Linked DNA regions of Drosophila melanogaster. The gene in region 2 interacts genetically with the main gene of each other region. Each region holds a gene or a part of one and is shown on either strand. Other genes may lie near its edges. The genes, in order: Rheb, Pten, Tsc1 and Akt.

Region 1 (3,976 bases), on a different chromosome or scaffold from region 2:
GCATTTTAGATTTAAGATAAGTAAGACAAGAAATATTTTTATTCATAATCGGTTTAATGCGAAATAATTTCTATGTCTTTTTTCTATAATCAGTCTTTAGAAATATTAAGCCAGCCAAATCTTAATTCAATCAAATTCGTCCGACCAATTGTGACATAAGAAATAGCGGTATTAAAATTTAAAGACCCCTTTTTTTGCTAACAGATGCAGATATTGCTAGAGTGGCCAGGTGAGTCTTTCAGTTTATCCAAATAGTAATTTGGTTTGAAATTACTCTTATTAAGAACCATACCGAGATCCTCCCAGTTCTTTTACTTGCTGAACCTTGGTCTCCAGAGAATTCACAACGGTTGGGAATCTATAGAAATCATTAAGGTATTGGTCCTATTTAATCAGTTATAGGGACGAGATAAAGTAAATCCAGCTTTTTGGAATTGCAACTGGCAGGTCTTCTCGACGCACTTGTAACTTTAGTAAATCAACCTCTATATTTTTCACAATCGAAAATGTTGACCATTAAAATACAATCTTGAATAGTATTTTGAAAAATTATATTTAAATTGAAACTAAAAGTTTGCAGAATTTGTATATGAAATTTGTAACTGAATTGTTGTTGTAAAAAAAACGTACTAACTTAAACCTGTTGTGTTGCGCCAGACGCGAACCACAAAACCTGCTGGGCAGCGTTTAGCGGACGCATTCAGATCGCTTGATATTGGTTACTTGCTGTGTGGTCTTAAGAATACTAGGTCTATTAGATTTTTAGATTTTCCTGCTGCGCACAAAGGGTACGGCCCCGCCATGCACGCTGACCCAACTGTGTAGATAAGAGATAATCGATTTTCGTATTGCCATAGCGATTTGCCGTATTTCCAACAGTTCGGCCGTAGTTTTAGCTACTCAGCCGCCCTACGATACAAGACAACCGCTCTTCTCCTGGGGATTGCCGTTCTCGTTTTCGATGAGGATCAGTAGCTGATGGAATATATCTCCCACGGACTGCGAAGGAAGTACCTTAGTTGCATTCAGCTAGTGTGATTCGTCTTGGTACTTGCCTCGTTCTGTTTGGCGGACGTTTCGAGAAATGCAGCTCGCCAGGACTCGGCCAGCTTCTTGCCTTCCTCCGTGGAAACGGTTCGTTCCTGGTGGAGATCGATCTTGTTGCCGACCAACACCACAGGTACACTGAAAGGCAAAAAAGATTAGCTTAGCTCTCAAGCGGAACCCACGGGGAAGAAGCCTACTATTTCTTGCCCATTACGTCGAGCAGTTTTTCGTATATGATCTTCACCACCTCAAAAGACTTTTGGCTGGTTATCGAGTACACCAGGACGTAGCCGTGGTAATCCATGCTGTACTGCACCGGGAATATGCTGTACTCGTCCTGGCCCGCCGTGTCGATGAGCTTTACGATGTAGTCTTGCGACTTTACACGCTCGATCTTGGTGAAGGCTGCGAATGGGAATTACCGATCATTACGCATTGCTACTGCTATCGAAGCATGGAGTCAGCCTGGCTTCTAAGAAATCCGCACGGAATGGGATGTGACACTTACTGTTCTCAATGGTGGGGTCATAGGAGTCCACGAACTGGCCCTCCACGAACTGTATGCATAGCGACGATTTGCCTGCGGGCGAAGCGTAATTATTATGGTCAATTGATCATAGTTCTTGCTGTTGTCGAAATACTACGCAATTACCAGTGCCAGCAGCAACAGTGTCAGTGCTTCTGGCGGAACTTTCTGGGAAAACTCACCCACTGATCGGTAGCCCATCATGGCTATGTGGCGCTCCTTGGTTGGCATTTTCCTGGGGCCCAGTGCTTTGAAATAAATGGAGAAATTTATTGGTTTTGTGATTTTCCACACTTTTGTTTTTGCTGTCGCCCCTCGACTTTTTGTGCGCTTGTGTGGGTATGCCCGTGCTCCTTCTTTAAATGTGTGTATGAGGAATATTGCTTCTGCGTTTATTTTGCTTGCTGAGGATACTTTCTATCACAGCTAGAGCTTTTCCGGCGATTTTAATTCCAGTATTATTTATCAGATCGTCTAAAAGAAAACAGTAATTCTGAAGTTGAATCAGTGCTGGTGTCGACGAAGCCGAAATACCACTCCTAGCCTACTAACATAAGGCATTTGCCAGCTAATGAGGAACCGTCACACTACACTATCGTCTACTAGTTTAACGGTCAACAATTGCAGAAAATATCAAGGCCCGTTCGGAAAGGTGCTTGTCGTAATCAAGTGTAAAAAGTCGCAGTTATTTTCTTAAATAGTTAAAACATATTAAATGTCTTCGTTTTATGATATTAAAATAACTGTTTTATTTGTTATATATTGCAAATAGAGCCTGATTCTGTGGACATGTCTAAACAGGCCTTTAAAATAAAAATAGTGCAATCGATTGGGAACGAAATCGATATTTGTTTAGTACTCCGAGTTTTCTGCAGCACTTTCGTAAAAACTTGCTTTGATTTGATTTTTTAAAAGAGAAAACCCCACTTCAAATGGGTACAAAGCGTCGCAACATCGAGGATGAGCTCTCACGCTTCGAGGCGGAGATCTCGAAGCCCCCCGCCCGCAATCTCTTCGTGCCCAACCAGGTGCGCCCGATCATAGCCGCCAATACGTACCAAAACTCGCAGCACAAGCTGCAGCATCACCAGGGCAATGGAGGATCGCGTCTGACCGTACCCCCGCCCCCGATGCCGCCTCCACCCACGTTTATGTCCACCTTCGTGCCTACGGGCAGTGGAGGTGGTTCTTCCAAGGCTATGTCTGCCACTCCCGTAGTCCTGAGCAGCGCCCCCAAACTTTATCAGTGCCGGCAGTCTGTGCACGTGCCCACCGTGGCCGCCGCGCCCTCCATCGACATCAACGCCGTCTCTTTTGACGTAACGCAGAAGCTGAAGAAGCTCAAGGCGGAAAAGTCTGGACCCAATCCCATTGCAGAGGAGGCCATTAAGGCAGCGCGCGCATCATCGGCGCTGCAATCCTTCCAGACAACAGAGCGGAAAAAGAAAGACCGCAAGACGGTGCGTATCGCTGGCGGCACCGTGTGGGAGGATACTTCGCTGGCTGACTGGCCCGACGATGACTTCCGCATCTTTTGTGGTGACTTGGGAAACGACGTCAACGACGAGGTCCTGACCCGGACCTTCAACAAGTTCCCCTCGTTTCAGCGGGCCCGTGTGGTGCGGGACAAGCGCACGGGCAAGAGCAAGGGATTTGGCTTCGTGAGCTTCAGAGAACCGGCCGACTTTATACGGGCCATGAAGGAGATGGACGGCCGCTATGTGGGCAGCCGGCCTATCAAACTGCGCAAGAGCACGTGGCGACAACGCAGTCTTGACGTAGTTAAGAAAAAGGAGCGCGAAAAACAGGTGCTTCTGCAGGCCTTCAATTCCATGACTTGAATCTGAGTGTGCATATCGTGTCCTTTAGGCTAGTTTCGGTCACTTTGATGTAGCAAATTAGATTTGGATGTTGCTGCTAAAGATGAGCAATAAATTTACGTTTAGCAATTGACGCGCTTAGTTTTTATTAACAAACCCTACCCATCCTATTACGAGGTAAACCAGCAGCACATTTTTAAATCAGAAATTGTCTAATATGTTTAAAAACCTTAAACGGGAAAGCAACACTCACAATAATATTACGTAAAGCTTTTAGTACCATTTGGACTCCTCCTTGTCAGCGAGCAGAGGTCTCCGCACCGCATCCCCACCATCGAGATGGTGGGGACCACGACTGCCATTGTCGTCCTTTCCAGACAGTCGCTGGTACTGGCTTCCCTCTCTGCTGGGCCACCTGACCAGTGGTATGCCGGCATCAGGGCAGAAGATGGAGGGATAGTATTGTGTGTAGCTTATATAGCCTGCAAACAGGCCAATCAGCCCGCCGATGGTCACATCCTGCCAGTGGTGGTGGTAGTCGCAGGTGCGACTAACTGCAACCAGCAGTGCGATAAACAGAGGT
Region 2 (7,199 bases):
GCAGCTATAATGGCAGAGAGGGCGGCGGCAGCGGCTTCAATCGCCGCGAGGTTTACGGCGGTGGACGCGACAGCAGCCGCTACAGCAGCGGAAGTAGCGCCAGCTACGGACGCACTGGTGGTCAGTCGGCCGGACGCTTCAGGTCCCGCTCGCCGGTGGGAAACCATCGATTCTAATGACAACACCACTCATAGTTGCTTAAGGATTGCCTATGAGTAAAGATTAATAAATAATAACTTAAGCGCGACCGTAAAACGCAGACTCAAACATTTAAAATCGTAGCATTCGATCGTTTTCGATCGTCCAACAGATTCCCTCATTCCCCCACATCAACAACAACAACAGAATGATAAAAAAAAAAGAAAAAACAAAAAACTGATAGTCGTCGTCTCTTCATTATTTATTTAACGAATACCCATTAACATGACAATTGCAAGCACGTAAAATTTAAGTTATAACGTAGAAAACTAGTAAGAAAAATACGCTAAGACTCGAACAACGTCAAACCAAAATCTAGAAGTACGCAATTTTAATAAAGGAAATGCGGAACAGTTTCTCGTATACATAAAAGCTTTCGCAAAATAATTGGTCTAAAACATTAAAGAATTTTGAGAACTCGGAATTGTGTAGGTGTTCATTTTTACAGAACCTCTTATAACCATCGTAATAAACCCTACGAAATGAAGCAGTCAGCAGTCCGAAACTGGTAAGAAAGCGTTTTCGAAAATCTGCTTTGTTTTCTGAATCTCGAAAACCTAAAAAGCAATAACCGCCAAGTGTTTACAAACAAATCATTGACTTTACGTTTTGGTAAGAAATATTGCATGTGTACTATCCATCGATCTAACTTTTTACCTATTAAGACAAATACTATACAAATCTATAACTTATTGTAGTTGGGTCGAAACGGCAAAAATCTAGCCAATGCTGCAAGCAACTATATTAAGCGCATCGGTTTTAATGTTTATGTTTTATTTCATTTAACTAAATTAACAGGTCATTTGTTGGAGTATCTCTTAACGTCACTTTCAGATTTATTAGATTGCTTAAAGTTCAAAACATAGCTAAGCAATACTTATGATAACGACGATTAGTTAGTTAGCCCAAGGGGCTATTAAATATTTAAACGATGGACTGCAGAAACTTTTTAAACAAATAAAAAGCGAGACAAATAAATGAGAAATTGGTTAACACGGCAAAACACTTGTTTTTATTTCTTCGTCTTCGAGTCCTTTTTGCTTCAATAACATTTACTGATGATTGGCCTATTTTGATTTATTCAAGTTACGAATTAAAGTCAACAGTTGAGAATTAAGTGGTACCAAGAATTCATTTTGCGGAAACCAACTAGCCTTAAGATACGAGTGTAATTTTTAAAGTTTTGAAAATTTTTTAAAATTTTAAATTATTCAGATAGCAGGTTTTGCTTTTGAATAAAGGAACTTTAAATTCCAATCATATTTATGTCAAAATAATCGAATACCCATAAAAAACCTGTTGCACTTTTATCGATTGTAAATAAAAAAAGAGAGGATTACATTAATGGTATTACCCAAACTGATAGTTTTCAATAGCATTTCAATGGCTGGAAAAAAAAATAAATAAAAGGTATTCGTAAATCTTAAAAATGTTTGCGTTTTAAAAAATTGCATACCAAAAATAATATTGGTTTTGCAAGAAATGGAATTTTTAATAGCTGTAGCAATATTAGTTTCGTGGGTAGAACTCGAGTAAAAGATGTGTTGGTAGTCATGTTTTTGGTAGCATGAAGTTATATGTGTGTTGTTTAATAAGATTAAAATAAATGCATAGATAATTACATATTGTTTAAAACCGCAGTGCTAAAAAATAAATGGTTGTATCGATGACCCATCGATAGTTTTTGCATACACAATTTAATCGAGAGGGCACCACGCACGTCGATAGCACTGGATGTACATTTTCTCAAATCTTGTGGTGGTATCGCTCGCCGTAAACACCCTGTGGATCTCACGCTTGATAAATTAATAATACATTTAATAGAGCATGAGCGCTACTGTTTAACTTTTACACATAATTGAAAAGTTTTATTTGAAATTTCGTGGCTTAGAGCAAAACATGTGATAGCTTTTTGAAATGCAGTAGCCAGAACCTGCTCGGTTGGAACATTTAGCTTATTGACTTAAACATACCCATATGCACATACATACATATGTATTAAACAGTGGGCACATATATTCGTGTGGTGCTGATAGTGTAAATGTGTAAAATGTCTGTGGAATTGTAAATATGTTTTTGTTTAAACAAATATGTACATAAATGCACAAAAATCGGTGCATATATGTGCACATGCCCATCATCCATATCTGCATATTTCTGTACATGCATATGTGCTCTAACTACAATACATACCACCATTCGCAAACAGTTTGTCAAAAAAGTGTGTCTACTCGGCGAGATAAAACAAAAAACAGTTGCCAAATCAGTCGCTATGTTAAGTAATTCGAAATTACTGCTCGGTGTTTCTAAAACGGATTTTGATTTTGATTTTCACCCCTCGAAAATCGCCCCCTCAGCCAACGAACCCATTTAATTGCTCGAATTCGTATCGAAATCGCCGTGCGTTGGGCTTCAATAAAAGAACTCTGTTCTGTTAGCCAGTTACAATTAAAACCAGGACCATTTGACAACCAATCTGAATGTATTATGCCAAGCGGAAGATTGTTATATTGTTTATCTTTGATAATATGCCGATACATGTAAGTATGTTTCACGTGTGTGCCGCAAATGCCTGCCTGTGTGTGTGTGTGTGTGTATGTACATATGTGCGTGTGCATGTGCGAGTGTGTGTGAGTGTGTGCATGTTTGTGCTAAGGATATTTGTGGATATATAAACCGAACTGAAGTTAACTCTTTACCTGTTCCTGGGAAAACAAGTAGGGAACTATTCCTATAGAGAGTGCACCTCTGTCTGTATGTGTATGTACGTGCTTAAATATGTATCCAAGCAAGAACTGCAAACAGGAATATATCTTAGCCGAGTAAGAAGTATTAGTTTATATAGAACAACCTAAGTGGATCGGGAGAAAACAAGCCCATTATATTAGTTCCATATATCCCTTTAGAATGCCTTGGCACAGTATAATTAAGCAGTTTCTATTGACCATATTAGAAACTTGTCTGCTGTTAAAGGATTTAGGTTTGAATTCGCAGTAGAAAACTAAGCTGAATTGAGTCAATACTTTTCTAACTTGCTGTGGAAAATAAACAGATTAGTTAGAATCATATGCATATTAATTAATATGCTTTACATTCCTTTCAGAACGTACACTTTGCAATGGAGTAAATAGAAGACAAGCACTGGTTCCCAAATACATTTGAATGGATGCAGCTAATCTAATTTAAATAAAAAAGACAAGTCTTTAAACCTTAAAAATATGGCCAACACTATTTCGTTAATGTCCAACGTGATACGCAATGTAGTGAGTAAAAAACGTATACGATACAAAGAAAAAGGATACGATTTGGATTTAACATGTAAGTTATTGAATCAACCGCAATCATTGGAATATTAAATTAAATTATCTATTTACCCACAGACATTAATGATAACATAATTGCCATGGGCTATCCAGCACCGGATAAACTAGAGGGCCTATTCAGAAACCGTCTGGAAGATGTCTTTAAGCTATTGGAAGAGAATCATGCCCAGCATTACAAAATCTATAACCTATGCTCGGAGCGTAGTTACGACGTTGCTAAATTTCGCGGGGTAATTTTGTTGAACTTTTTCTATTTGTCGGCGTAAAATATGTAAAATATACTATTTCGCATTACAGAGAGTAGCTGTTTATCCGTTCGATGATCATAACCCTCCAACGATTGAGTTAATACAACGATTTTGCAGTGATGTTGATATGTGGCTCAAGGAAGATTCGTCCAATGTTGTAGCCGTGCACTGTAAAGCTGGAAAGGGCAGAACCGGTAGGAAATGTGTTCAACATTTTGTGCGAAAGTTCATAAATATCATGGCACACTATGATCTTGTTTCGATATTTGTAGGGCTAAAAAACTAACCCAGTTTTTTTTCATTTCAGGTACCATGATCTGCGCATATTTAGTGTTCAGTGGAATTAAAAAATCCGCCGACGAGGCATTAGCGTGGTATGATGAGAAGCGTACAAAGGACCGAAAAGGTGTGACAATCCCATCTCAGCGTCGATATGTTCAGTATTTTTCCAAACTAGTTTGTTCAAGTGTTCCATATTCGAAAGTAAGCCTTAACGTGAGTATTTCCAGCAGCAGCGCCACATTCAGCGCCGTACAAAATCTAAATATGCATTTTTTGTATCTCAGGTATGTGAAATACGCTTCTCGGAGTCCAGTTGTGTGCAAAACTTAGGCATGGTAGAATGTTCAATATCTGTATTACACGACTCAGCCACAGAAAATGCAAAGCCAGATGTAAGTATATAAAGTATATAGATACATCATTGATAGACTATAGACAGCATTTTAAAAATGTATATTTCACACGATTTCAGTGCAGTAAAGTGTTCCTTTTCGAATACCTTTCTAACCAGCAGTAACATTCTTCTTTTTTTTATAATTGCAGAGACTGAAAACCTTGCCGATTGATTTTCAAAAATCATTTGTTTTGACCATTAAACCATCAATACCAGTTTCCGGCGATGTAAAATTTGAACTCACAAAAAAATCCCCAGATAAAATCATTTGTCACTTTTGGCTAAATACGTTTTTTGTACGAAACTATTCACGTAAGTATACTTAATATCGCACATGCATTAAATAAACGATTTAATTAAACATTCTCTTTAGCTTGCGAGTCCGATGGAACAGTTAACAAATATATACACACTTTAAGCAAATCAGAAATCGATGATGTACATAAAGACAGTGAACATAAAAGATTTTCAGAAGAATTCAAGGTAGGATATTTCGAAGCATTTTAATAGATGCTGCGAAATTACCAAATAAATGTGCTTGCTCTCTTTTCAGATTTCAATCGTTTTTGAGGCAGAGAATTTTAGCAATGATGTTCAAGCTGAAGCGTCCGAAAAAGAGAGAAACGAAAATGTTTTAAATTTCGAAAGATCAGACTATGACAGTTTGTCTCCAAACTGCTATGCCGAAAAAAAAGTCTTAACTGCGATCGTCAATGATAATACAACGAAAAGTCAAACAATAGAAACGTTGGATCATAAGGATATAGTTGTAAGTGAAAACACGTTTTGCGCCGATCAATATGCTTAATCTATAAATCTAATATTCGTAGACTAAAATTCAATACGACACATCAACCAATTCAAAAAATACTTCGACTGCGTGCAAACGCAAACAGCCTAATAGCAAAACTCTTTTACCAAGCTTGAATGATTCCACAAAAGAGGAAATAAAACGAAATCATATATTTAATCAACCGTCCATTAAGAAAACTGATTTAATCAAATGGCAGAATAGTGAAGTTCATATCACCTCTGACACTCGAAGTATAAACGAAAATAAGAACATCAATTACAATTCATACATCACATGTAAACAATCCTCTCCAAAATTCAACTGTGGTACCGAAGATGGCGAGGAAGATTGGGAATCCGGTGAGTTTGCTGCACACTATACTCTCAATGACCAGATCTCACTAAAAATCTATCCGTTTTAATCGAGTAATACCGAACAATTGTTCTAATTTCACATTTATTTAATACTAAGAGTTTCGATTCAATTGATTTCTGGACCATTATCGGTTTGATTTTGTAATTAATTGTATTGTATGAGTATTCAAATTAAGATTTGTTAAAAGAGATAGCCTTTATCGACATATGCTATCGTCCACACATTTATATTCTTATTGACTTATTGAATTCGCCAGAATAATCACCCGAGACGATTTAAAAGACTTCTGGCTGAACGATCTCTTAATTTTGATGTATAAAACGAAGCCACCAGAACTGGATTTATATGTCCCCAAGACTTTTACGAGTATACTAGCAGAGACAGGCTTACACAGATCCACTTCCTTTCACGGGGAAACGATCGATTACAGCTGCGCTCTGCACATCTGTTTAGAATTTAATGTACATAGGTGAGTGAGTGGGAGCCCATGCCTGCGGCTCGAATGGTCAACTAACCGGCAATCCTTAATCAGTATCCGCATCGATTTTCATCACACATCCCTCACCGCTTCATAAGTATGTGACTCTGGGCACTGCCATTGTCCTTCTACTCAATTCATTTAACAAAACTAGCACCGAACTGTCGAACTTCGACTAATTCGACTATTTCACTGTTGCTGTTGAAAACTAAATATCCTGAAGCAGAATGTGTCTTTTGTGTGTTTCATCATCATCAAAAGTCTTCTGCTTTTAATTCATTCATGCTATTTTGATTTTTATCGTATTCTCGTTGAGTTTTAGTTAATAAATTCATTAAGCTTGTTTGAGCAAAAAAATCTAAACTAATAAATGAATATTTTTCTTTATTTCCAGGTGAATCAACATACCTGTAATCAATGCTTATTACGGACTTATAATTCTTGGTGATTTAGCAAAGTAATTAAAATTGCTAAGTAATTGGCTAATCTATTCGAATTTGTAAATATACTGTATGATATTTATTTAAGTAGTTTTAACAATTATTTTAAATAAACTCATGTACATTTTGTATTGTAGATTTCATTCGAACTTTGGGTTTTTGTCTAAAGTAAGGGGGGAGAAATAATTGACGTTTAGAAAAAAATACTTAAATTTATAGTTTTGATCTCGAAACTAGTTTTCGACACGAAAAGTGCAGCGATTAAATGGATATCTCATATTTTATTGGAATTTAACTAATAGTTTCAAATGAGGCAATAGCTAAGATAAATAAATAATAAGAGGTTCTTGAAATTTGCCAATTGTTGTGCAAAGCATACAGGATTCACAAAGGTAATTATCAGATTAATAATAAATATTCAAAGTATGATTATTCCAGTTTCTACGTTAAGTGCTACCAGTTATTTTTCTTACTCTTTTTCCCATAATTCCCCTAACATATGTTCCACTTCCGAGTTCCAATAAACCCAACACAAAAATGTTGTCCAAATTGACGCTATCTTGACGGGCATATATTATTGTGTTAAATTGACGTAAACTGGGCGGTCAGAATTTCGCATCTTAACGTCGACATCTAATTTTAAAAATGACTAATTATTCGGAAATTTT
Region 3 (6,602 bases), on a different chromosome or scaffold from region 2:
TTAATATATCTTTCAAATCATCAGCCTTAATGGAGCTACATTAGGATGAACACAATAAATTAGTAAAATTCATTAGGTATGTTACTCCCTATTATTACCAATCCTCCACATCTAAGTTCAATTTGTTGCAATAGGTCAACAAATCGTTTATAAGAAAATTGCAAATGACTTTGTTGGGCAAATCACTTAAACTACGGGTAATGCTCAAGAAATGATCCAGCAGAATAGGTTCGTTCTGAAATAAAATCGAGGAGTGTTGCAATTTCAAATTTTTTGTTGACTCAAAAAGGATCAGAGCACGCACCACTAAAATGATGGCAGTTTCCGCATTCAGGTTGTGCTGCTCCACCAAACGTTGCCTGGTGTCCTCTGGTAATTCTGGAATTTCCTCGCTTAGAGCAGCCACTGAAAGTAAATCCTCTGTTGACATTGATCCAGGCTTTAGGTTTACATGAAGGGGTGGTAGATTCGGCTCCGGCATGAATCTGTAGTCCTGCAGCACCTCTTTGTCACGCATGGCCACTGTGCGCCGGTTCTCCGCATCCCAGTTGCGAGTCTCATTTGTAATTACACCGCCATTAGCCACAGTTTCTAGCTGTCTATTAATTTCATACGTAATTGCTTGCGAAATGCTTCGAACCGAGCCAATGTTTTTTACTTCGGTGCGGACTCCCAAGGGATCGCCTTCTTGGTGAATGGATATGTTGGCATCCACACGCAGGGCGCCCTCTACAATAAAAAATACTCGGTTTAAAAAAAGGCACACAAATCCCTTTTGACTCACCTTCCATTTTACAACTGCATGTCTGCAGACGCCTTAGTATCAGTATTAATTCCTTGACCAGCGATGCCGCTTCTTCGCCCGTTTCTAAATCTGGTGCAAAAACCAGCTCCATTAGAGGAAGTCCAGCACGATTAAGGTCAACCAGGCTCCTTTTGAGATAATCATCGTGCAGAGATTTACCACTATCCTGTTCCAATTGCAACTGCAGTAGTTTGGCGGTCTTGTAGTAAACTTTTTTGCCTGGTGTTATCACGGGGAAAGTCATTTTTCCATCATTGGCCAAAGCGGCGCGCTGCTGCGTGATTTGGTAGCCATTCTGGGGAGGAGAAGTTTATTACTTATAAGGCTTAGCGTGGTGTAAACTGAAATTTGAATCTTACAGGCAAATCTGCATAGAAGTAGTGCTTGCGGTCAAACATGGACACTTCGTTCACCCGACATCCCAAAGCAAGTGATGTCTTAATGCCGGATTCCACACATTTTCTGTTGAGAACCTAAAAGCAGAGGATACAATGTAATGATGGCGTCTTAAGTGAGAGTACCTATTCTCACTGGCAATGTTCCCGGTATGGAGGCATCAAAATACGCCACCGAAGAGTTAAGTGGTGCTCCAAAGGATGTGCCACTGCCGGAAAACAGTTTGGACGCACTGGCAATCTGTGCGTGCACCTCCAAACCCACAACGCTTTTCCATTTCCTGAAATTCAGAGCGTTGGAATGAATCCTTATAATATTAATTCACATAATTACCTTTTGGGAACGTTGGCTAGCTTTGGCGCCGTTACCAGTTTTCGGATTATTGAGTAATGCATTATTTTACATCGATTATAACATTCGCACCGGAATTGGCAAAAAGTTGCGCCAAAACAGCTGATGTTGTTTTGATTGCGGCCAAAGCTGCCGGACATTCGCCAGCGGCGTTGCCAGACAAAACCATCGATTGGCTGGCGATAACAGCGCAAGAGGAATATCACAAAAAAATAACCTTTTCATTTTCAAGACAAACATGTAAAAAAATATGAGTTTAGCAGAGGTAAGCATTTTAAATGTGCACTCCACAACCGAAACAATAGTGCAGTGCATCGAACGCAGTGGGAATTTCAATGCCAACCCTTGTTCTCCAGTTCACAGCGACCAAGACGAGAAAAAGCACACGCAGCTCTGCAAAAGACAACCACGACGACGAGTGAGTGGAGTAGAAGGACCAGGAGCGGAGTAGCAGGAGCAGGAACAGTCGACCGAGGGCGGGCGGAAAAATCAATCATAGCGACAGGAAACCAATAAAGCCGCCGTCATGGTGATTGAGAAGATCATTGGTGACCTGGAGTCCAACATGACGCTGGAGAACGAGGAGGCCAAGCGCAAGCTTGTGGAGTTGCTATCCCAGAGTGAGTCCTCGCCAGTTTCAGTTAATATGCCACCTATTCCAACATACCATTTCCCCACAGACAAGGAGCAGTGGGTGGTAAAGTTCATGCTGGACTACTTCTTTACAACTGGATCTCAGCGCATTTTGGAGGTACTGGTCAAAGCCCAGGCACCTCACGATGGGTACATCTTTGACAAGCTGGACGACTGCCTAAAGCAGTCGCAGCACCGAGTGCAGAGCCTCCAGGTGTTCTGCTTCATTGTGCGCCATCACCCTACTTGGCTGTACAAGATCGAGAAACACCGGCTGATCAAAAGTGTTTTTAAGCTTATGACGGTGAGTTTATGGGTGTTTACAATTTTGTCCGAGTTCAGCATCACTTCCATTTCTCTGACAGCACGAGAAGGAGATAGTTCCGCTGATGAGCGCCCTGTTGTGCATAATTACTCTGCTGCCGATCATACCGAATTCTGTGCCCAACTTTCTTAACGATCTGTTTGAGGTGTTCGGGCATTTGGCCTCGTGGAAGCTGCAGAATAGCAATAAACTGCCGGACGAGAAGCTCGTCCACCTGCAGTTGGGTCTACAGATGCTATTTCACCGCCTGTACGGCATGTATCCGTGCAGCTTTATTGCCTATTTAGTGGAGTTCATCAAGCGAGGCAACGGCGGGGGCATCTTCCAGCATACAATCAAGCCGCTGTTGAACACTGTGCGAGTGCATCCCATGCTGGTGACGGCCACGCCAGAGACTGAGGTAAACAATACGCGATGGAAGGAGATGGAGCCGCATGACGTGGTTATGGAGTGCGCCAACCTATCGCTGCCCGTCCTCTTGCCCGAGACGAGCAACGAAGACGGCAGCTATGCGTATCCCATGACGCCAGGATACAGTCGCATGACTTCAAATACCTCGAATACGGACTACAGCTATCAGCTGAGGGAGTTTCAGCAATCGAGAAATGTCTACACCCGCTTCGATTCGTTTGCCTCGGGTGATGATGTGGGTCCGATCTGGAGTCCGCATAACGAGATTGCCACGACCAGTAGCGGCATACCGCTTACACCCACCACATCGTTTATTTTGCCACTACAACCGGCTATGAACTCTCAGCTTATGGTTGGCATGACTGGCTCCTCACCGCCCGAAGCAGCTGTGGAGGCCACACCGGAAACCACCCCCTTAAAGGATATGAGGGATATCAAGCAGCCGGGACGTGCGGTCAATTCGCATGCTGTGAGAGCTATCTTCGCCGTAAGCCAGCCTTCTTCACCCATGCGCAAGGACCAGCAGAGTCAGTTCAGTTTCCCGGATGTCTCTCGCGAGGCGGAGGAGAGCAGCCACTCATATCTGGAGGTCAACAGAGGAACTGCCTATGACCGTCGCCTGTCGCAGGTCATCCAGGACAGGCATAACGTGGAGCGATCTGTAAACACACCTTGTCCAAGCAGCCTGCCAGAAATTAACTCCGATTTATCCCTTGTTGGTGGTTCCGTCTATCCATCTGTCACGCAGGAGGTCGCTGCAGTTTGTGGCGAGTGCAACGAGACGGATAGGAACCTCTGCAGTGTGGGTGGACTTCATATGCCCACCAGCCGATCCATGCACCAGCTGGCAAAGAAGCGCCGCAATCGTATGGCAAGCTACAGTGGAAATGGTTCCTGTGCGGACAGCAGAAGTTCGGCGGCAAAGAAGGCAAGTTGGAGTACTGAGGCAGAGAACCCAATGCGACGAACCAAATCCTGCTCGGCCCTTTCCGGAATGCGGCAGCAGCATCTGGAGGAGAATGATGACGAGGCCGATTGTTCGAGCCAAAGACAAAGAGGGGAGAATGGAAATACGCAAAAGACTGGCAGCCGCCTGCAGAGGAGCGGCCGGAACCTGGCCATTTCGGCGCCCAAGGATACGGCTAGAAGCTGCACCCATGCCTCCACCCAGACGGTGGAAGGACTGGACAGTGCTCCAGCGCAGTACGAGAATTGGCTTATTGAACTCCTGCTGGAGTGCAAGGAGCAAAGAATCGACTATGAAAGGAACCTTCTGTACCCGCAAGATATTCTAGACGAATACATTAAGCATGCGATCAAGGCCAATGAGTCCTTTGACGCCGAGCAGGGTCAACTGATGTGCCTACAGCTGGAATACGAAAGCTACCGTCGATCCATTCACGCAGAGCGCAATCGACGACTCATGGGGCGAAGCAGGGACAAGCGCAGCCTGGAAATGGAGCGGGATCGGTTAAGGGAGCAGCTTAAGAACTTCGATGCGAAGAACAAGGATCTGGCAAACAAAATGGATCAGGCCATTCGGTTGGCCAACGAGCGCCAGAACATCCACCAGGAGGAGCTGGGCGAAATGAGGGCTAAGTACCAGCACGAACTGGAGGAAAAGAAGTGCCTGCGGCAGGCAAACGATGACCTGCAGACGCGACTCACCAGCGAGTTGGCGCGCCACAAGGAGATGAACTATGAACTGGAGTCTCTGCGAGGTCAGGTCTTCAGTTTGGGAACCGAGCTTCAACACACCCAGCAGCAGGCGGACATTGGGCTGCAGTGCAAGCAGGAGCTGGCACGACTGGAGGCCGAGTTTATTATCATGGGTGAGGTGCAAGTGCGTTGCCGCGACCGTCTGGCTGAGATCGATAACTTCAGGGCCCGCGACGAGGAACTGCAGATGCTACAAGAGAGCAGCAACCTGGAACTGAAGGGTGCCTATTCATTGTTTATATGATACGGATGTTTAATCATTCAGTTTATTTATTAAGATCTGAGGCACAGCCTGGACGAGAAGACATCACAGCTGGAAAGCATGAAGCACAAGATCAGCGACCTGCAGGCCCAGCTAGCCAACAGCGAGAAGGCCATGACGGAGCAAAAGCGACTTCTAAGCACCGTCAAGGATGAGTACGAAGAAAAGTTTAAGGTAGGGCTGATATTTAAAATCGTATACTTATCTGAAATAGTTCGGACTTTTAAGAAATAGTCTGTGTTTACCAGTAACTTCATTTCAATTAAGAGTAATAAGCCTTAAAAATCGTCGTCCTTGCAGTCCGTGAACAAGAAGTATGACGTGCAAAAGAAGATAATTATGCAGATGGAGGAGAAGCTGATGATGATGATGCAGCAGCCGCAAGGAACAACAGGTCATAACACCTGTTCCCCGGACACGGACAGAACTGGTGAGTGCAAGAGCTGCTTCGCAGCTAAAGAATACTTACTATTGCATTCTCCCACAGACATAGCTTCATCCATTGAACGCAACTCACCGCTATCCACGTCGCTGGCCTCGAGCGAGAGCTTATCCGCCAGCCTACGCTCCACGGAGCTGAAGAACCTGCACCAGCTAGTGGACACGCCCACTATTCCGGATGTGCTGAACAGCATGGCCGGTGGCGCTCAGTTCGAGGACGAAGTGCGTCCGCCGGCCGTGGATCTGGCCTCCTCGGCAAGCACCGCCAGTGCCATCAACATCGTGCCGCACGCCTTGGACTTGCCGTCGACCTCCGGCGGCATCGGTCACACGCTCACCCACCCACATCCGCATCCGCACCTGCACCTGCAGCAACAGCAACAGGATCAACTGCAGTAGTAGCAGCAGACGCAGTTTGTAAAAACAAATAAGAACTAGCTTTCCTTCGCTAAACAAATGTCTATTGGGAAAACCCGCACAGAAAATTTACAAAAAAAAGTTATTGGTTCTTCATATTTTCATATTCAGTTCAAAACTGTAACTAAGGTTTAATAAATCGCTGACTCCACGCAATAATTATAAAGGTTATAAAAAATATTAATGTTTGAAATTTTAACTTGTTTAGCACATTGCAATTTGTTGTAAAAAAGTGGTTTTGATACGAGGCAATAAGTAAGACGCGCATTCATATTATAATAAACATTTGATTAAGATCAGCAAACATAAAAGCATTGTTTTATTTTATTTAATTGTAAACATACTATTTGTTATATAACAACCGCCAAACATTTAAATTTTAGCTAAGAGAGCAAACAAAAACGTAAACAAACCGAGCGACATTGCCAGCTGAAAGAAAGTGAGAAGTGTGGCAACCTTAAACGAAACAGCTGAGCGGAAGCAACAATAATATAGAAAGAAGAAGCAGAAAAGAAACGCCTATTAAATCAGATCATTTAAATACGAAAACTTAATAATACATTAAAATGCTATCCCAATACATGGAGGAGTTTGAACAGGTGGGCTCAAAGGTCACGTAGGCCCGATTATGGCTTATATTTATTAATCATAACCAACAGGAACCCTTTGAGGTGGGCGAGTTCATAGAGCGTCTGACTTGGCGCACCAACAATGAACTCCAGAACAGCGAGGACTTTCATCCTGTGGCCCTCCACGATACCTTCATCCAGACCATTAAGGACCTAAAGATCCTGCAGGAGAAGCAACAAAGCAAGTGCGAACGGCTAGAGGAGTCACTGCGC
Region 4 (7,629 bases), on a different chromosome or scaffold from region 2:
TTTGCAGTTCGTGTAAGTTTTTGTTTTTTTTTTTTTAATCGAAACCAAAAATTGTCTCACACAACTCAGTAAACTTAGACAACTATTTTGAAAGGTCTCTTTCGTCCCCTTCGACGGGTAGAAAATGCTTCGATTTGGGATACCAGAGATGTTGACGTTCACTAAGGCTAGTATTCAATTTGCTTCGGATGTCCCTAACCGATTTCTAAGTCTTTGCTTTAGATTTCTAGCTGGTTGCCCCTTGGCTGGCAGACTTGCCTAACGAGTCTGTCAGAAGGGTTATTGGGCTTGTTGAAGTCGATTCTCGGGTTGTATGTCTATTAAGCCATGCTTAGGGGTTCTATATTTTGTCTATGTATTGCTTGATCGATCTGAGATTGATATTGGCTAGCCTAGATGTCAGCCGCAAACTTGGTGAGCAGAAAGCAAGGACTTTAAGCTGTTCAAGGATATAAAGATTGGTTCAATCGGAGCTATCTGATATCTCTCCTCAGCATAGGCTGGCTTTAGCTAGTTAGTTCGTTCCTAGTCATGATTTGGAACCATCATCGTCACATGTCCAAGACTCCAACCGAAACATCCCGACTTGCTGGCTCCTCAATTCTCGGTTCTCCTCGAGTTCCACCTAACTTCGCCGCTTCTTTGGCATTTTCTTTTCGTTTCTATATCCCTTCGTTTTCGATTTGCTGTTTATTGTAATCATCGAGTGATAGGTTTCGTTTAACATTTAGAAGAGAGATTATGCTTTCAATTTCTTTGTTTTCAGTTGAAATTCCCGAACTTGATTTTATTTAATAATTTTTATTTACAATATTTATTTTGTTTTCTTTACGAAATATAAAATAACTTTTTGTTTCGTTTTATTCTTGATTTTTGTTTTTATTGCGCATATAAAAATATCAAAAATTCTTTATTTTCTTTTAGGTTTTTTTTCTGTTTATATAATTTTTAATCTTCCTTTTGGAACTATTTGTAAGTCTGTTGTGGTTGATTTATATATATTTTTTGCTGACTTGCTCTAAGTATACAAAACTTGTTATGAACTTTTCAATGCCAAAAATGAAATGACAAAGATACATTTTTTATTGTGTCAAAGGTTAAACCTTTTCTGTGGCCTCAAATGGTGACTTCCATTTTCCACACGACACATACATCCTTTGTTTTTTTTTTGCATTTACTCTTGAGTTTTTGCTTTTTTTTTATAAATATTTACAAATATATATTTTTCGTAAAAAATTATAATAAAAAATGGCGTCAATTGTAATCATTTTGCTGTTGCCGTTATTGTTTCGAAATATGTTTCTGCCTGAATATAACTTTTAGTTGCTTGCTAATTATTGGCGCCTATAAACTGCATTGATGTATGTTTCCCTCGTTTATTAACTATTAGTTTGTTTGTTTCTGTTGTTGTAGTTTTGCATAAAGCACAGCACATTAGAGGCAATTTTAACATTATATATAACTTGTAATTGTTTCTGTTTCTTTTTTGCTTCTTTGGAGTATAAATAATTTATATATACGAGTGTTGCATGTGGGGGCGGTTGTTGAATATGTGTATTTCGATTTGTTGCTGTCAAGTTAACTAAACTTCATGTTCGCTATATGCTAAGTGGCTGTGTGAGTGCTGTCTGCGTGAATAATCTGTATAATCAATCAGCTTAAGCGACCCCTAGAGGATGCGATCCGATGATGCATGCTTTATCCTAGCACTAAGTCGCTCTAAGTCGCTTGGTTAAATGTTTTCCTTGCGTTTAAAATTAACTAATCACTTCAAGCGCTATGCCCCAAGTGTTATATTTAGTTGTATATATAATTATATATATATATATATATATATTTATATATATGTGTATAATCATATGTAGTAAATTATTTTCCTCGGCTTCGGCTGTTGCCCTTTCGTTCAACGTTCCCTTTCTCATTATACAAAAATAAGTTACTATCAATTCAATTCTCTTATTATTGGTGTATATAAACTAGCAAGAAAACCCTTTGCTTGCCTTCGTTATCATGGTATAATTAATATTTAATATATTCTTGCTGTTGTTTTCTTTTGCCCATTTCTATGTGTTATAGGTATAGTATAGTAATAGGTGATGAAGCAGAACATGATGTGTGCTGGTAAAAGTTTGTAAACTTGTTCTATTGCATCGATGCGAGACTTGTGGAAGTACTAATGTGCGACGAGGTGCCCAACGTGGAGGCCATGTCTCCTTGGTAGCTGAACTGTGGCGGTGAAACCAAAAATTGGATGAGCATACAGAACCCCACTTTAAATGTTTTCAACTAGATCTTACCTGCGGGAAAAGCGGCTCTTCGGCTATGGAGCCCAACGGGCCAGTGGGATCCGGCGGCGTCAACTCCACACTCTCTCCCGTAAACTCCTTGTCGAAGTACCTTGTATCCGTATCGGATGTCACCTGAGGCTTGAAAGGCGGCGGTATCTACGGTAAGCATTTTAAATTCGATTAATATATACGAATAGGTAACTGACAGATTTACTGTGCCCTACTTTTTTCAACACTAGATCTGTCCAGTTAATACTCGCAAAGAATGGATGTGCTTGTATCTCCTTGACATCATCCTTTCCACCTCCCAAACGCTTTTTGGGATCCTTAGCTAGAAGGCCTGCTAACAGATTTTTCGCCTCATCTGTGATATTACGCGGGAATTTTACCTCCTCCACCAAAATCAATGTAAAGAGCACATCATGATCACGATTGTAAAACGGAAGACGACCACAGATCTGTAAGGAATTATTTTTGTTTTTAATACTTGTTAATAGTATTTGCAGATGCAACAAACTCACCATCTCGTACATGACCACGCCAGTGCCCCACCAGTCCACCGCTTGGCCATAATCATTGTCATCTAATACTTCCGGAGCTAGGTATTCCGGTGTACCGCAGAAGGTTTTCGTTGTGCGGCCGTAGGTGATGTCCTCCTTGCACAGACCGAAGTCTGCGACCTTTATGTGACCATCTTTGTCCAGCAAAAGATTTTCCAGCTTTAAGTCGCGATAAATTATGCCCTGTGAATGCAGATAGCCCAGAGCAGAAATGATCTCTGCCCCATAGAAACGTGTTCGATCCTCAGTAAATATGCGTTCGTGGCTTAAATGCCAAAAGAGCTCGCCACCGTTCACGTACTGCATCACAAAACACAGGCGGTCGTTGGTTTGAAACGAATATTTGAGTGACTGCAAAACAGGGAAGACATATATTAGTTTTTTAACGTAAATTATATATTACTAGCAATACTTACAATGAGGAACGGATGATTTGTGGACTTGAGCACACGACTCTCGGTCAGGGTATGGGCCACCTCGTCCTTTTGGATAATAACTTCCTTTTTAAGAATTTTGATCGCGTACAGCTTGGCGGTAGCCTTCTCGCGACACAAAATAACCTTACCAAAGGTGCCCTTGCCGAGCACCTTGAGGAACTCAAAATTCTCCAAAGTCTACAAGGAGATAAGATGGAGTCAGCTCGATCACGCCCTTGGTCAATGACCAGGTGAGTGGTACTTACCACTTTCTTAACGCCGCTGCTATTACAAGTCGTTCCCTGTACGGAGAACTGCTCGGAAAGCTCGTCCTCGGCAATGGTGGCCATGTCCACGTCTGTCATGTCTGTCTGTTCAGATGGCGTCATAGCCACCTCACCCACATCTATGAGCCGGCTGGATACGTTGCGAATGGCCTCCGTCCACTGCTGGCGCTCTAATTCTGATTCGACGGCAAATGTCCTTTCGATTACCGTGGTCCATTGCAGGCCGCGGATGATGAAGGTGAATGGCTTGGGCCGATCGACGGTCATGATCTGGCAGCCGCGCACCGTAAAGTTGTTGAGCAGGAAGTCCGATGGCGTGCTGGCACTATCTGCCGGCTTGCTGCGGTAACCCATCAGTCTTCCATCGGAGTGGAGCACGAAGTAGCGCTGGCGCCAGTTCTTTATGTGCTCGCCCCTCTTCATCAGCCACCCCTCCTTTACGACCTGAGTCTGTTCCGTAAGCGCATGACCCGATGTAACGCTGGGCGAGCTGAGGTCGAAAGTTGTGTTTATTGACATGGTTCCGGAATCGTGTGTAGGGGCCGCGGAGGTCCTGCTTGGCCAGGATTGCTGCCAGCTGAATTTCTCTGCACTGCCGCTGGTGGGGCTGCTGTTTGGATGGGTGGATTGGCTGTAGATGATGTTAATGATGTTGCTCCCTGTGGTGGTGGGCGATTCCGGGATCCTAGAGGCAGATCCTGGCGCTGGGGCGCTGGCAACCACAGTCGATCGCCGCTGAAGAACAAACGGTAGGTAATTCGTGTTGAGGCTGTTTCACTAACCCTAGGGACAAGCTAATGAGGGACCTGTAAGAGGAGTACAGTGAATCCTTTATATTCATGCTGAGTTTGAAATACTTAAACTAAGAATGCGATCGACGAAAAGAAAAAGGCTTTAGCAGAGGGTTCGTCTAGTAACACCTTTACCTTCAGGGATTCAACATGTACTAGATATTAACTGATCCGCCAACTGTCGACATAAACTAGTCAAAGTGGACAAATGGAGTTCCCAAATGAGCTAGCTATCAAAAAAGGGGAAACAGACACTAAAAGGCTGCCAAGTCTATCCAGATATATACTTCCCACATCGCCTATCTCACGCTGATAGTAAACAATTGTTATTGTCATTTTGCATGTTTATGACAAATGCAGTTGGCGCTTGCGTCAGCAGCTGGTGCAAAACATTTGCGGCATTTCCGTCGCCAGAAAGGGATTGAATTGGATTGAGGACTGTGATTCTGATTGTATCGAATTGGATGGGTTGGTATGGTGTGGCATGGTATGGGATTGGATTCTTAGTCACTGGCCCACATGCAGATGTAGGCGCCATCGTCGCCTTGTTGTTGCTGCCACTTTCGGCTTCAAACGAAATTCCCCGCCATGTTACGCAGCGACACGGCGATACGAGTGAAAATTGTTCGCGATTGCATTTAGCGCGAAATTAAATCAAAACAAGTCGACGGCGGCGACTGTTCATGAACTTATGTATATGCATATATAATACATACATATACATATGTACACATACAGGGGACTCGCAGGCGGCACTCGCACTCGTACTCGCACTCACACTGGCACAACTGCAAAAGCAAAAGCATATTCATTTACAATTTGCGAAAATGTCAACGACGGATGGCCGCCGGCTGTACAAATGTCGCTATCTATCTAAAACTGTAAACAAATGTACATAAAATAAAAATCGACAAAATACACACACAGGCATAAGCGGACAGGCGCTCGCACACCGAGGCAGTCACACAGACAGGGCTGCATTGCAAAGTGCGAGTGAGGCCAGACTGTGGGTGCGAGGGGGAGGGAGACAGACAGTACGCGTGTCTGCCACAAAGGTGTATGAGTGTGAGTGTATGTGTGAGTGTCTGGCCGTGTGCGTGTGATTGTCTGGCCGTGTGGGTGTGAGTGGCTGAGTGAGTGAACCACCGAGTGTGCGAGTGTGTGTGGGCAGCGGCGACCTAGCAGCGCAACATGTCAAATCACTTCGTGGAAATGGAAATTGTGGAAATGCTGGTGAAAAATACAAGAACCCACCTAGTTTTGTAAAAAAAAAAACCCGACTTTTGCTTTCCCTACTGCACTGCGGTTTGTTTTCCTACTCGTTTTGGTATTTTCCTTTAGATGGTGACGGCAGCGACAACGTCACAGGCCTTCTTATTATTGTGCGTGTGTTGTTGTTGCTGCTTGCTATTGTTGTTGTTGCTGCTGCTGCTGTAGTTGTTGTTGTGTTAAGGTGCCAGACACCAGAGGACGGAACGAAACACACACAATCTCGCACTCGCGCACTGGAAGTCGATTTCCGCCACCCGGGCGTTTCCACTTGGTGTTTTCTTGCCTTCCAAAGCAACGTTGCATCAATTGCAAATGCTTAAAAACGTAGTTTTCATAAACAGAAGCACGCACACAGGCAAAGTAAATTTTCCAAGTACCGTTTAGTTTTTACGCTTCACTTTTTTTCGATAACTGGCTCGATAACTGATTCGATCCGCGTTGCCACCTGTTTTAGCGATAGTTAGGCGACTGTTACGGTGGAAAGATGCCAGAGAGAGACATTATTTAAGAGCTGTACAACGCGCAAATATCCCTTAAATTTAAATTAAATGTTTTAGAAGGCAATAGTTCTGTTTTCTGACTGTCTAGGCCGACTCTTTAACTAGAATTCACTTCAAATTTGAATGTATGAACTGCAGATTAATAATAATGCTGTATTGTTATTAAATTCATTTTTAAAAACTTTATTTTATATGCTATGTATACAAAACTATTTCTTATATCGACAAATTGTTATAACTTTTCAAAGCATAATTGATCAAAAATTTGGAAGCCCTATCAATTTTATATATGGTTCCTGTCCGCACTAAGTAGATACTCTGATAAGTATGACCATGTGTAAGTAGCTAGAAAAAGTCAGTTCTCTTTTCCAGTTTCCCAGATCAAATTTGATATTCACCTCTTTGGGCACTCTTGCTCAGATTTGTTTATGCAGAACGCGAAGTCTCCTTTGAATCCGAAAAAAAAACAAAAAACGAGTAGCGAATAAAGTGCCCCATTGGCACAAAACGAGGTAAATAACTTGCAACCCAATCGGAAGGGAGAACATAGCATGCCACTTTCAAATAAACAAATAACGACTCCAGCGCGACTGTGTGTGCGTGAGTCCCTCCCAATGTTTGTGTGTGTTATCAAAAAAGGCGTAGAAAAGTGCAAAAACAAAGGTGTTATTGACTCTCAACTTTCTTTTTCTGCCTATCGTGTGTATCACTGTGGGCTGTGGCCGAATAAGAGCGTTCGCCGAATATGAGCAATTGGAAAAGCATGAGCATAAGTAATGAGGCAGAATCGGTTGCATTCAATTAGTTGGAGAAATGAAAAATATGAAGAGATGGTGTAGAGAGAAGGGAAGAGTGCAGTCTCGAGCAATCAATACCAACGCAGCCACGAGCCCCCCTTTCTTTGTGTGTGTGTGTGTTACCGTGTGAAAACAAAACAAATGTATGCTAGCTGTGGAAAAGAAAGCGCATAATTGAATAATAAATAATAACAGAAACAGGGCAAATGGCAACGACTCAATGACAAAAGTAAAGCCGCCACCGCAGCAGAAGAAATGTGGGTGCAAAAGTGAAGAAATATGCCATTGTTTATGTGATTTGCAAATGTGCACATTCACACAAACACCGTGGCAAGATAACGGTTGTTGTGCGGGCGGGTGCATTGCTCGAAGTGGCTGTGCAATTGTAAGAGCGAGATAGCAATACGAAGAGAACAGGACTGAGCAGTACAGGGGCGAAATCCAGGGGACCTTAAACGTGGATTATGGGCACCTTAAATGTTTTTGTAAAATCAAATCACATAAATACCGTACTTTAAACTATTCAGTGAATTAAAATTGTGTTACTGATTTTAAAAATGTAAGTTGTAATTTCAAGTTTGGAAATGAACGGTATGCCCTGCACGTTTGTCTAGATCCACCCCTGGATAGAGCGCAGCAAAGAGAACAGTGCAAATCGAATTAGTCCAGACTTTTGGTCACGCCCTTGAACTTCGCATTAACCCACCAACGCCCCCCT

Evidence for each region.
Region 1: of Pten (region 2) and Rheb, changing one suppresses a phenotype caused by changing the other (phenotypic suppression), as found in Drosophila melanogaster (2 studies listed by BioGRID).
Region 3: of Pten (region 2) and Tsc1, changing one suppresses a phenotype caused by changing the other (phenotypic suppression), as found in Drosophila melanogaster (2 studies listed by BioGRID).
Region 4: of Pten (region 2) and Akt, changing one suppresses a phenotype caused by changing the other (phenotypic suppression), as found in Drosophila melanogaster (6 studies listed by BioGRID).

The regions. Positions count from the first base shown.
Region 1 is NT_033777.3:5,567,051-5,571,026, reverse strand, and holds Rheb (Ras homolog enriched in brain), read right to left. Parts: upstream 2,107-3,976; 5' UTR 1,988-2,106; exon of another isoform or gene 1,822-1,987; 5' UTR 1,805-1,821; coding exon 1,756-1,804; intron 1,628-1,755; coding exon 1,556-1,627; intron 1,453-1,555; coding exon 1,245-1,452; intron 1,186-1,244; coding exon 1,056-1,185; intron 1,000-1,055; coding exon 910-999; 3' UTR 536-909; downstream 1-535. Other genes in the region: CG2931 (uncharacterized protein), read left to right, coding at 2,506-3,414; CG12746 (uncharacterized protein), read right to left, coding at 3,667-3,976. UniProt on the Drosophila melanogaster protein: Binds GTP and exhibits intrinsic GTPase activity. Activates the protein kinase activity of TORC1, and thereby plays a role in the regulation of apoptosis. Stimulates the phosphorylation of S6K through activation of TORC1 signaling.
Region 2 is NT_033779.5:10,255,793-10,262,991, reverse strand, and holds Pten (phosphatase and tensin homolog), read left to right. Parts: upstream 1-1,942; 5' UTR 1,943-2,138; exon of another isoform or gene 2,139-2,407; 5' UTR 2,408-2,738; intron 2,739-3,004; exon of another isoform or gene 3,005-3,301; 5' UTR 3,302-3,416; coding exon 3,417-3,516; intron 3,517-3,578; coding exon 3,579-3,751; intron 3,752-3,818; coding exon 3,819-3,963; intron 3,964-4,076; coding exon 4,077-4,264; intron 4,265-4,335; coding exon 4,336-4,443; intron 4,444-4,594; coding exon 4,595-4,757; intron 4,758-4,818; coding exon 4,819-4,928; intron 4,929-4,998; coding exon 4,999-5,214; intron 5,215-5,275; coding exon 5,276-5,597; intron 5,598-5,869; coding exon of another isoform or gene 5,870-5,874; exon of another isoform or gene 5,875-6,082; intron 6,083-6,485; coding exon 6,486-6,505; coding exon of another isoform or gene 6,506-6,539; 3' UTR 6,540-6,673; downstream 6,674-7,199. Other genes in the region: Rsf1 (repressor splicing factor 1), read left to right, coding at 1-176; CG5676 (uncharacterized protein), read left to right, coding at 7,177-7,199.
Region 3 is NT_033777.3:24,128,588-24,135,189, forward strand, and holds Tsc1 (Tsc1), read left to right. Parts: upstream 1-1,719; 5' UTR 1,720-1,817; intron 1,818-1,908; 5' UTR 1,909-2,078; coding exon 2,079-2,172; intron 2,173-2,232; coding exon 2,233-2,489; intron 2,490-2,550; coding exon 2,551-4,861; intron 4,862-4,918; coding exon 4,919-5,076; intron 5,077-5,202; coding exon 5,203-5,332; intron 5,333-5,389; coding exon 5,390-5,742; 3' UTR 5,743-6,067; downstream 6,068-6,602. Other genes in the region: GatB (Glutamyl-tRNA amidotransferase, subunit B), read right to left, coding at 1-35, 99-235, 305-729, 785-1,100, 1,165-1,278, 1,337-1,481, 1,535-1,596; Sec10 (secretory 10), read left to right, coding at 6,327-6,359, 6,420-6,602.
Region 4 is NT_033777.3:16,097,628-16,105,256, reverse strand, and holds the start of Akt (Akt kinase), read right to left. Parts: upstream 6,030-7,629; 5' UTR 5,597-6,029; intron 4,498-5,596; exon of another isoform or gene 4,478-4,497; intron 4,358-4,477; 5' UTR 4,314-4,357; coding exon of another isoform or gene 4,071-4,313; coding exon 3,531-4,070; intron 3,463-3,530; coding exon 3,265-3,462; intron 3,200-3,264; coding exon 2,810-3,199; intron 2,747-2,809; coding exon 2,513-2,746; intron 2,445-2,512; coding exon 2,298-2,444; intron 2,227-2,297; coding exon 2,143-2,226; 3' UTR 1-2,142. UniProt on the Drosophila melanogaster protein: Serine/threonine kinase involved in various developmental processes. During early embryogenesis, acts as a survival protein. During mid-embryogenesis, phosphorylates and activates trh, a transcription factor required for tracheal cell fate determination.